2 linked regions of the Danio rerio genome follow. The protein of the gene in region 1 interacts with the protein of each later gene in a pairwise test. Links are inferred from orthologs where the notes say so. Each region holds a gene or a part of one and is shown in the gene's direction. Other genes may lie near its edges.

The links.
Region 2: the proteins of sergef (region 1) and dph3 interact in binary tests that used the Homo sapiens proteins (3 or more experiments, as listed by UniProt). The link is inferred for Danio rerio from reciprocal best matches to the Homo sapiens genes SERGEF and DPH3.

Annotation. Positions count from the first base shown.
Region 1 is NC_133200.1:8,835,318-8,839,150, reverse strand, and holds part of sergef (secretion-regulating guanine nucleotide exchange factor), read left to right. Parts: intron 1-2,300; coding exon 2,301-2,363; intron 2,364-2,442; coding exon 2,443-2,601; intron 2,602-2,984; coding exon 2,985-3,124; intron 3,125-3,833. UniProt on the Homo sapiens protein: Probable guanine nucleotide exchange factor (GEF), which may be involved in the secretion process.
Region 2 is NC_133181.1:16,098,910-16,103,182, forward strand, and holds the start of dph3 (diphthamide biosynthesis protein 3), read left to right. Parts: upstream 1-1,157; 5' UTR 1,158-1,236; coding exon 1,237-1,344; intron 1,345-1,679; coding exon 1,680-1,754; intron 1,755-4,273.

The DNA of each region.
Region 1 (3,833 bases):
TCAAAAAAACAATACTAAACTAATATAAAAAAATATAGTAAACTGATACTTATCAATTTCAATTTATTTAAAAGGATAACCCCATGAGATGCAACATCTAATTTTCAGTGGGTGCCATTGGATTGATTACATTAGGAATTTCAAATATTATCACATTTATAGATGCAGATGACGCGTTATTTTATTTCGTATACTAATTTGGATACATTTCTAGCACAATCTCTCATTGTAATGTGAGGGACGCTGACAACAAAGTTAAGTGTCCACGTGCAGTTTATTTTAAGGATGGTCAGGTAGGCAACGGTCAACACTGTCAAAGAACAGGCGAATCGTCAGTACCGGCAGCAATGAATCAAAACGATAACACAAGGCAAGAGGTCAAAACACGACTTGGCCAGACAATGGAAACTGTGTCGTAATGTCACAAAACAGTTAACTAGACTCGTTAACTAGCTTTTGAAGTCCAAGTAATCAGTTCATAACGATCCCTCGGCTGTGTGTGTATAATCAAGGTGAAACAGGAACAGGTGTGAGTGTGTGGTGCATGAAAGGATTTGTAGTTTTTTTGGTGGCAGAATTGTAGTTCTCCAGAGATCTGTATGGACTAGATCGCTGGCAATTGTGACACTCGGGTTCAAAATTCATTTTTTGAAAACATTCTCATCACTCTTTATGGCTATTCATATATAAATACTGAGAATGGCCGGAAAAAAACACAGAATGTAAAATTTATTCTATAAAAAGCTTTTATAATACAGATGAAAAAAGGTGCAATTTGGTGTTAGATAAGAGCTGCTTAAGTGAAGATTTATGAAAAAACAAACAAATCTTAAGCAAAACAAATGTGTTGTAATTTAAATGCACACACACACACACACATTAATAAAATGTGACACTTAAAAGTGCATTTATTAATGGTGTAACGATACGCGTATTTGTGTTGAACCGTTTGGTACGAGACTTTCGGTTCGGTACGCATTACAAACCGAACAATTCAGACTGATATCTAAAAAGATAAAAGAGTAAAAGTGTACAAAATATAATCTTTTCAGTGCAACACCGCTCAACAGGGCATCCCAAATGACGTGACAGGCAACATGCTGCCTTCCTCACCCACCTCCAAACACTACTCCAGTCAGGCAAACGCTGCACTTGCTTGCAAAATGGCTATAACGTTAATGTAATCCTCCTATAACCAACAGCAGGTCTGATTTTTGGGAACACTTTGGTTTCGGTACATTTGTAGCTGTCGATATGAGACAGGGCTTGAAATTGCTACCGTTTAGCTCGCATATGTGGCCGAAATTTTATCTATGCGACGTCAAAATATATTGGAGTGCATAAAATTGATGTCGTGCGACCAGTTTTCTTAGCAAAATGTTCACCATGTGCGTGGAATTACGAGGCATTCACACATTAAGCATCTTTTCACCTAAAAACGCCAAACGCAGCGCCCAGGAATGGTTTAAAACAGTTGACATGATAACTTGCAGTAAACAAAGCTTGCAATGCTTGCCCTGCCTTCAGCCTTCATGACAGGGCACTACAGCCACGAAAACGTAAAGGTCTGGATACGAGAGAATGAAAACAAACAACACTGGCAGATTTAGTTTTGGAAACCACCTAAAGTTACAAATAATGGCACATCTGATTACTAATCATGAAATGAATGTCAATCCAACATTTACACTTTTCGAAGAGTGGATAAAAGACTTCCAGTGGTTAAAGTCTGCTATGAAACCCGTAGGTCCGTAAAGCCGGTGGGACAGAGTTTTCAAGTAACAGTGTTTGCCATTGAATCTACACATTTTAAGCACGAGATGTTCTAACGTTTTTTAATCCTTCATTTAATCGTCACGATGCTGTTAATCGTGCAACTGACACCGCGTTCACCATCGCTAAAGAACTGCATTCACTGAGATGAAACTAATATTGCAGCTCATGAAAAAAACGTTACTGCTATTAAGATGACGTATGCAAATAATAAGTTATAAGTCATCTGTGCAATATCAGACAGCACCCGTGAAAACAGCACAGTTATTATTGTTAACTAATAAAGTAAATTAAAAATCCGTAAATTAAAATCAGAGAAATTTTCTGGCTTTTTTATTTTTTTGCTGTATCGAAAACATACCGAAGGGTGACACCACTGTGTCGTATCGAACCGAACCGTGATTTTTGTGAAGCGTTACACCCCTTTCATTTATTATGTTTTCTTTTTACACTACACAAAAATACTTTATGAAAATTATTTAAATTCTTATTTATTTAAAATGTTTTTCTGGCTTTCTCATCTTCAGGCTTTGCTCATGTGACCACACAGAAGGTCATTGCAGGCTCCGCCCACTGTGCTTGCTTGACAGGTGAGAGATAATCTCAAACAAACTCTTTAATGACTGTCTTTAATCCGATTGGTCAGTTTCATAGAAGTGTTTTCCACAGTGAACGGTGATGTGTTCCTCTGGGGCAGCAATAAACATGGTCAGCTGATCAGCGGGAGCCTCTTCCTGCCTCTTCCTGTGGCTTTGGATCGGTCAATGCTGCAGGACGAAAGGGTGAGCGATGTTCACAGCGGCTGGACGCACCTCATCGCACAGACTGGTCAGTTATGCTAAAGTCCCTTTAAGGCAAGTCAATTCACTCGGTGGTCAACTTTGAAAGGCCTCTCCGGCAGCATGCTCGGTGTTTTGTTTAAATGGGGAAACATCAAATCCTTCAAATTTGCTTGCCAAGCTTATGATTAAATTTCATATTAGGAATCACCAATAAAATTAAGCAACAATTGGTCTGGTCCGAGGCACTTCCCCGGAGAATCATCAGTCTATGGTGATCAATAATTGACCGTTACACTTTTCCCCATTCAAAACTATACGAGTGACATGTCATGTGTGTTCTACAGTCTTTTGTCATGCTTCACACAAACCTTTGTTTATGCATTGTTCCCTGATGAGATGATGATGAAAAAATATATTGTGCATTTACAGAGAGTGGGCGGGTCTTTACGTGGGGCAGATCCAATTACGGACAGCTAGGCCAGACTGATCACAGCATGGAAAAACAGTCAAGTGATGAGCACCTTGTGAGATCCCCTGTTGAGGTTAAAGCTTTATTTGGAGCCACACAGGTATGATGTCACAGATACTGTGGAAAAATCGTTTATTTTTTTCTGTTTTAATTATTCTATTTAATAAGACGATACATAGTAGAATAAGAAACAACAGACTGTCTTAGTTTATATCCACTCATACTTTACTATTAGACTATACGTCTTGATGCATGCAATGCAGAATGAAATGACAGTTTATCGCAATGTACACTCAATCATAATGTTCTACTCAAAAAATCCCCTCGGAAAAAGAAAACAATCCTCTAATGAAAAAAAAATGAATACATTAATTAATACTATTGAGAAATGTTACATATAAGGAAGTAAATAAGATTTAAAATAAACTAAGTGTTTAAATAGATGAAAAGTCACTCTGAGGAATTACTGTTATATTAAATTATATACAGTTGAAGTCAGAATTATTAGCCCCCCTTGGAATTTTTTTTTCTTTTTTTAAAATATTTTCCAAATGATGTTTAACAGAGCAAGGAAATTTCCACAGGATGTCTAATAATATTTTTTCTTCTGGAGAAAGTCTTAGTGTATTATTTCGGCTAGAACAAAAGCAGTTTTAAATTTTTTAAAAACAATTTTAAGTCAAATATTATTAGCCCCTTTAAGCTATATTTTTTTCAGATTGTCTACAGAACTTATAATCGTTATACAATGACTTTTCTAGTTACCCTAACCTGCATAGGTAACGTAATAAGCTTAGTTAAGCCTTTAA
Region 2 (4,273 bases), on another chromosome or scaffold:
ATTCATTCATTCATTTTCTTTTCAGCTTAGTCCCTTTATTAATCTGGGGTTGCCACAGCAGAATGAACCACCAACTTATCCAGCACATGTTTTACGCAGCGGATGCCCTTCCAGCTCCAACCCATCGCTGGAAAACATCCATACACACTCAATCACACCCATGGACAATTTAGCCTACCCAATTCACCTGTACAGCATGTCTTTGGACTGTGGGGGAAACCGGAGCACCCGGGGGAAACCCACGCGAATGCAGGGAGAACATACAAACTCTACTTAGAAATGCCAACTGACCCAGCCGAGGCTCAAACCAGCGACCTTCTTGCTGTGAGGCGACAGCACAACCTACTTCGCCACTGCGTTGTACATGGCCCACATATCAGTTATTACATCTGGGCCAAATACTACTTTTACATCTGGACCAAGTATTGTGTGCCACTAAAGACGGTGTCACTTCTGCCAAACCAGGGCCATGTTTGGACCACATGCTGTATGCCGGTGCCGGATGAATGTATGGGCCAGAATTCTTTGCTACCTGAGAATGCAGTACTGCTTGCTATTTTTAAAATGAGGGTCAAGATAAGCCAAACTTACATGGCCCATTCATTCATTCATTCATTTTCTTGCCGGATTAGTCCCTTTATTAATTAGGGGTCACCACAGTGGAATGAACTGCCAGCTTATCCAGTTTTAACCAGTCTAGACTGGTTAAAGCTGTTTTTACAGCAGGGAATTCTGTAAAAAATGCAAATCCTGAGCTAGACAAAAATATTTTCTTACAGTTTAATAAGTACTCCTTCAACTCAAATTATTACATTTTGGAAAATGTAACATTTTTTATGGACAGTTTCTACTCTGAAATAGCACCTAATAGAAGGAATTACCCTTGCAGTAGCTTGTAACTGATTAAACAAATGTAATCTAGAAATTAATTAACATATTTATTGGGCCAAAATAGTTAATACAGTTGCTGCTAATGTGCGTTGGTAAATTTAGGTTTATAGGCAATTAGACCCTCAGTCAAGTCATCTGTAAAGTTAAATGAACATAAACAGCAAAATAACTTGTACAAAACATACCAGAGACGAATGCGGCATCATATCGATAGAAATGTCTCCTCCTGGTGGCAAAGTTTAAAACAGATTTTTGACGTCTTTCTCTGGATGCCACGTCAAATTTGTGCGACACTAGATGTAACAGCGGGCGCACGTTGAATCAGCACCGGCGAAGACTTCTAACATGACGGTTTTTCACGACGAGGTCGAAATAGAAGATTTTGAGTACGATGAAGAAACAGAAACATATTATTTCCCTTGTCCTTGTGGCGACAGATTCGCGATAACAAAGGTTAGTTTGTTTTACTGAGTAAGCATAATATAGACAGTCATAACTTGATCCATAACTGTACGTTATCACGATCTAGGCTAACAAATTACTTATGTGTGTATGACTTAATGTATTGTTTTTCTGATGACTTGTATGTTGATTGGTTGTCATTGTTTGTGAATGAAATCTGAAGGACTACAATAAAACCACTAATATTATTATACAAATTAGGGAGTGTCAGAATGACAATATTAAACTACAGTCACAATTAATGTAAAATAATAATAATAATAATAATAATAATAATAATACCAGTTGTTTATTAAGAGAAAACTTTTTTTTTTTTTACTTTTTAGGAGGATCTTGAGAATGGTGAAGAAGTGGCCACCTGTCCAAGCTGTTCGCTAATAGTAAAAGTAATTTATGATAAGGTAAGGTCAACATGACAATATTCATTTATACATGTGTATTTTCTTGACTTGTATATGGATGATAAATATAGTTTTTTTTAAATGTATGCATGAATAAGGAATGTGTTATTTATACACTTGCATCAGGGCTCTCTTTGTTATGTTTTGTTTACACTTTTACATATTTGGTAGTCTTATTAAAGCTTTGTTAGACAGCAAAGGTAGCACAGAAACAATACTTGAAGAGGCATAGTTGTTCTAAAATGTGGTTTGGGTGCGAGAGGTCTGCCGTGTGGATGGCAACATCAACAACTTGAGGTACCAAGATATTTGTGCTGTCCTTTACATTACAAACCACAGAAGAGGGCAAATTCTACCCCAGGATAGCACTTCAGCCTCCACATTAAAGTTCCTGAAAGCAAAGAAGGTCAAGGTGCTCCAGTACGTCTTTATCAAGGTTGCTTCGCTGGATCGTGTCTCATTATAGTTGTTAAATGTGATATTCAGACATCCCAAGTCTCCCAGAAGTTCAGTCTATCACCGACCAACCCCCCAACCTGCTTGCTCTTCACATGATGACGATGCCATCGTCCATCGCAATGTTTCACATTAGACATCGTACGATGCCACATTGGTCAACATCGCCCAACCCTAATGTCAGGACCATTAAAGATGAATCCAAAGAATTTTGATTAACTGGGAATCCTGCAAGAATGCTTTCTTTGCCATTCCAATGTCTTTATTAAAAAGTTTTTCATTGCAGAGATGTATGGATGCGGCCTTCCAAGTTGATGACAGTCATACACAATATTGATTCTTTTTCCACTGTAGCATGACTTTTTATTCTATACTGTACATTATTTCTGTTACGTGACAAGACTTTTGTCTCAGCTAAGTCAGACCTTACTGTCTGTATGAAATAATTAAAAATCAAGGCATGATCATATTTTGTTTTGGTAAAATAAACATAATTTAGAGGCCTTTGCCTTTCATGTAAGCCACTTTTGATACTAAATTGCTTAATTGATACCAAGTTTTTTATTGGTGTTCCTAAAACTTGGATGGGTGACGAGACTTTTATCAGGTAGTGTACAAATAAATCCTAAAGTGAAAACTTTAGGATTTTAAGTAGATATTTTAGAAAAGACCATCCAAATTAGCTGTTTTTATTATTTAGTTATAAAAGTCTTTAAACTTAAAAAGATATATGTAGAGAGGCATTAATTTCCCCATGACTTTCTTATATTTCAGCACTAATTAGATCAAGTTTATGAGATGATGTGAAAGTGGATGCTGTGCCATTGAATGAGTTTGATTATTTATTAACCAAGCAAAACCAAGACTTTTTTACTAACTGGCTCTTCTCTCAGAGCCAGAGTGTCAGTTTACAGTAGAGGGCCATTTTAGAACATATAGCACATATTATTTAAGTATTTTCAAGATAAACAGAATGTATAAGTGCAATATATATTAAAATATATATATATATTTGCACTCTTTCAACATATATAAATTTAGCATTGCACAACAAGAATTGTGATTTAACTTTTCAACTATGAAAACAAGTTTTACAAAGATATATTTTGCCACTGATTATTCAAAACTTAAGGTGGTGAACTAGCAGTGTTATGCTGCGTTGAAACATCACTGTCACTGTAAACAACAGGCTAATAAAAATATAACAAACCAGCAATCTTCTTGCTGTGAGGTGGTCAAACTACCCACTGTGCCACCGTGACACCCATTATTTTTATCATTATTATTATTAATATTATTATTATTATTATTAAATAAAAATTAACAGGAGGAGGTGTTTAAAACCTTCGTTCTCCGTGACACTAGGCTGAATATCTTTGCAGATGAACAATGCAATAGCATTAGTTATTGGCGTAGAGCGAGCAGAACTGTTGCGCATGGAAAAAAAAAAACTTGCAATGCTTTTCTCACCACTTTTGGAGCTGGTTGAAGCAGTGCGAAAGCCGGGGATGCAGGGACACTAGAAGATGCTTTCACAACAACACCGTGGCGCCGCTTCAAGTGAGATATCAGATTAGTCGTACTGCCCGCGTATTTTACAGATGCGCGGCACATTTTGCAAATTGCATCTGTCCTGTCATGTCGTCCATCCTTAAATCCATAATGTTGCTTGCCATACTTTAGATTTAAAACTCATTGGGGAATAAAATGTTTGTTTTGCTTCTCGCGCTTTCTGAGGGCGCTCCACTAGCTTCATCCGCACACCTGATACACTGAGTTGTAGTGTGAGTGTACACATCCGCAAATCCGTTGCTAAGGCTTACTTTATGTAGGTCGATTAAATTATGCGCCAAAAACAGGTTGACAACACTTGTTAATAAATAAAAAATACATTCTATATTAAAAATATAAGCTGTATCTCGGAAAAATATATATATATATTATTGCAGTGTTTATTATGAATGATTTAACTGTGCATACATTTGTAATGTTTAAAGTCCTTAAGAAATCTAAATCGAGAGTGTTTACAGCGACATGAAATGTCACTCACATAAGACCTGCCA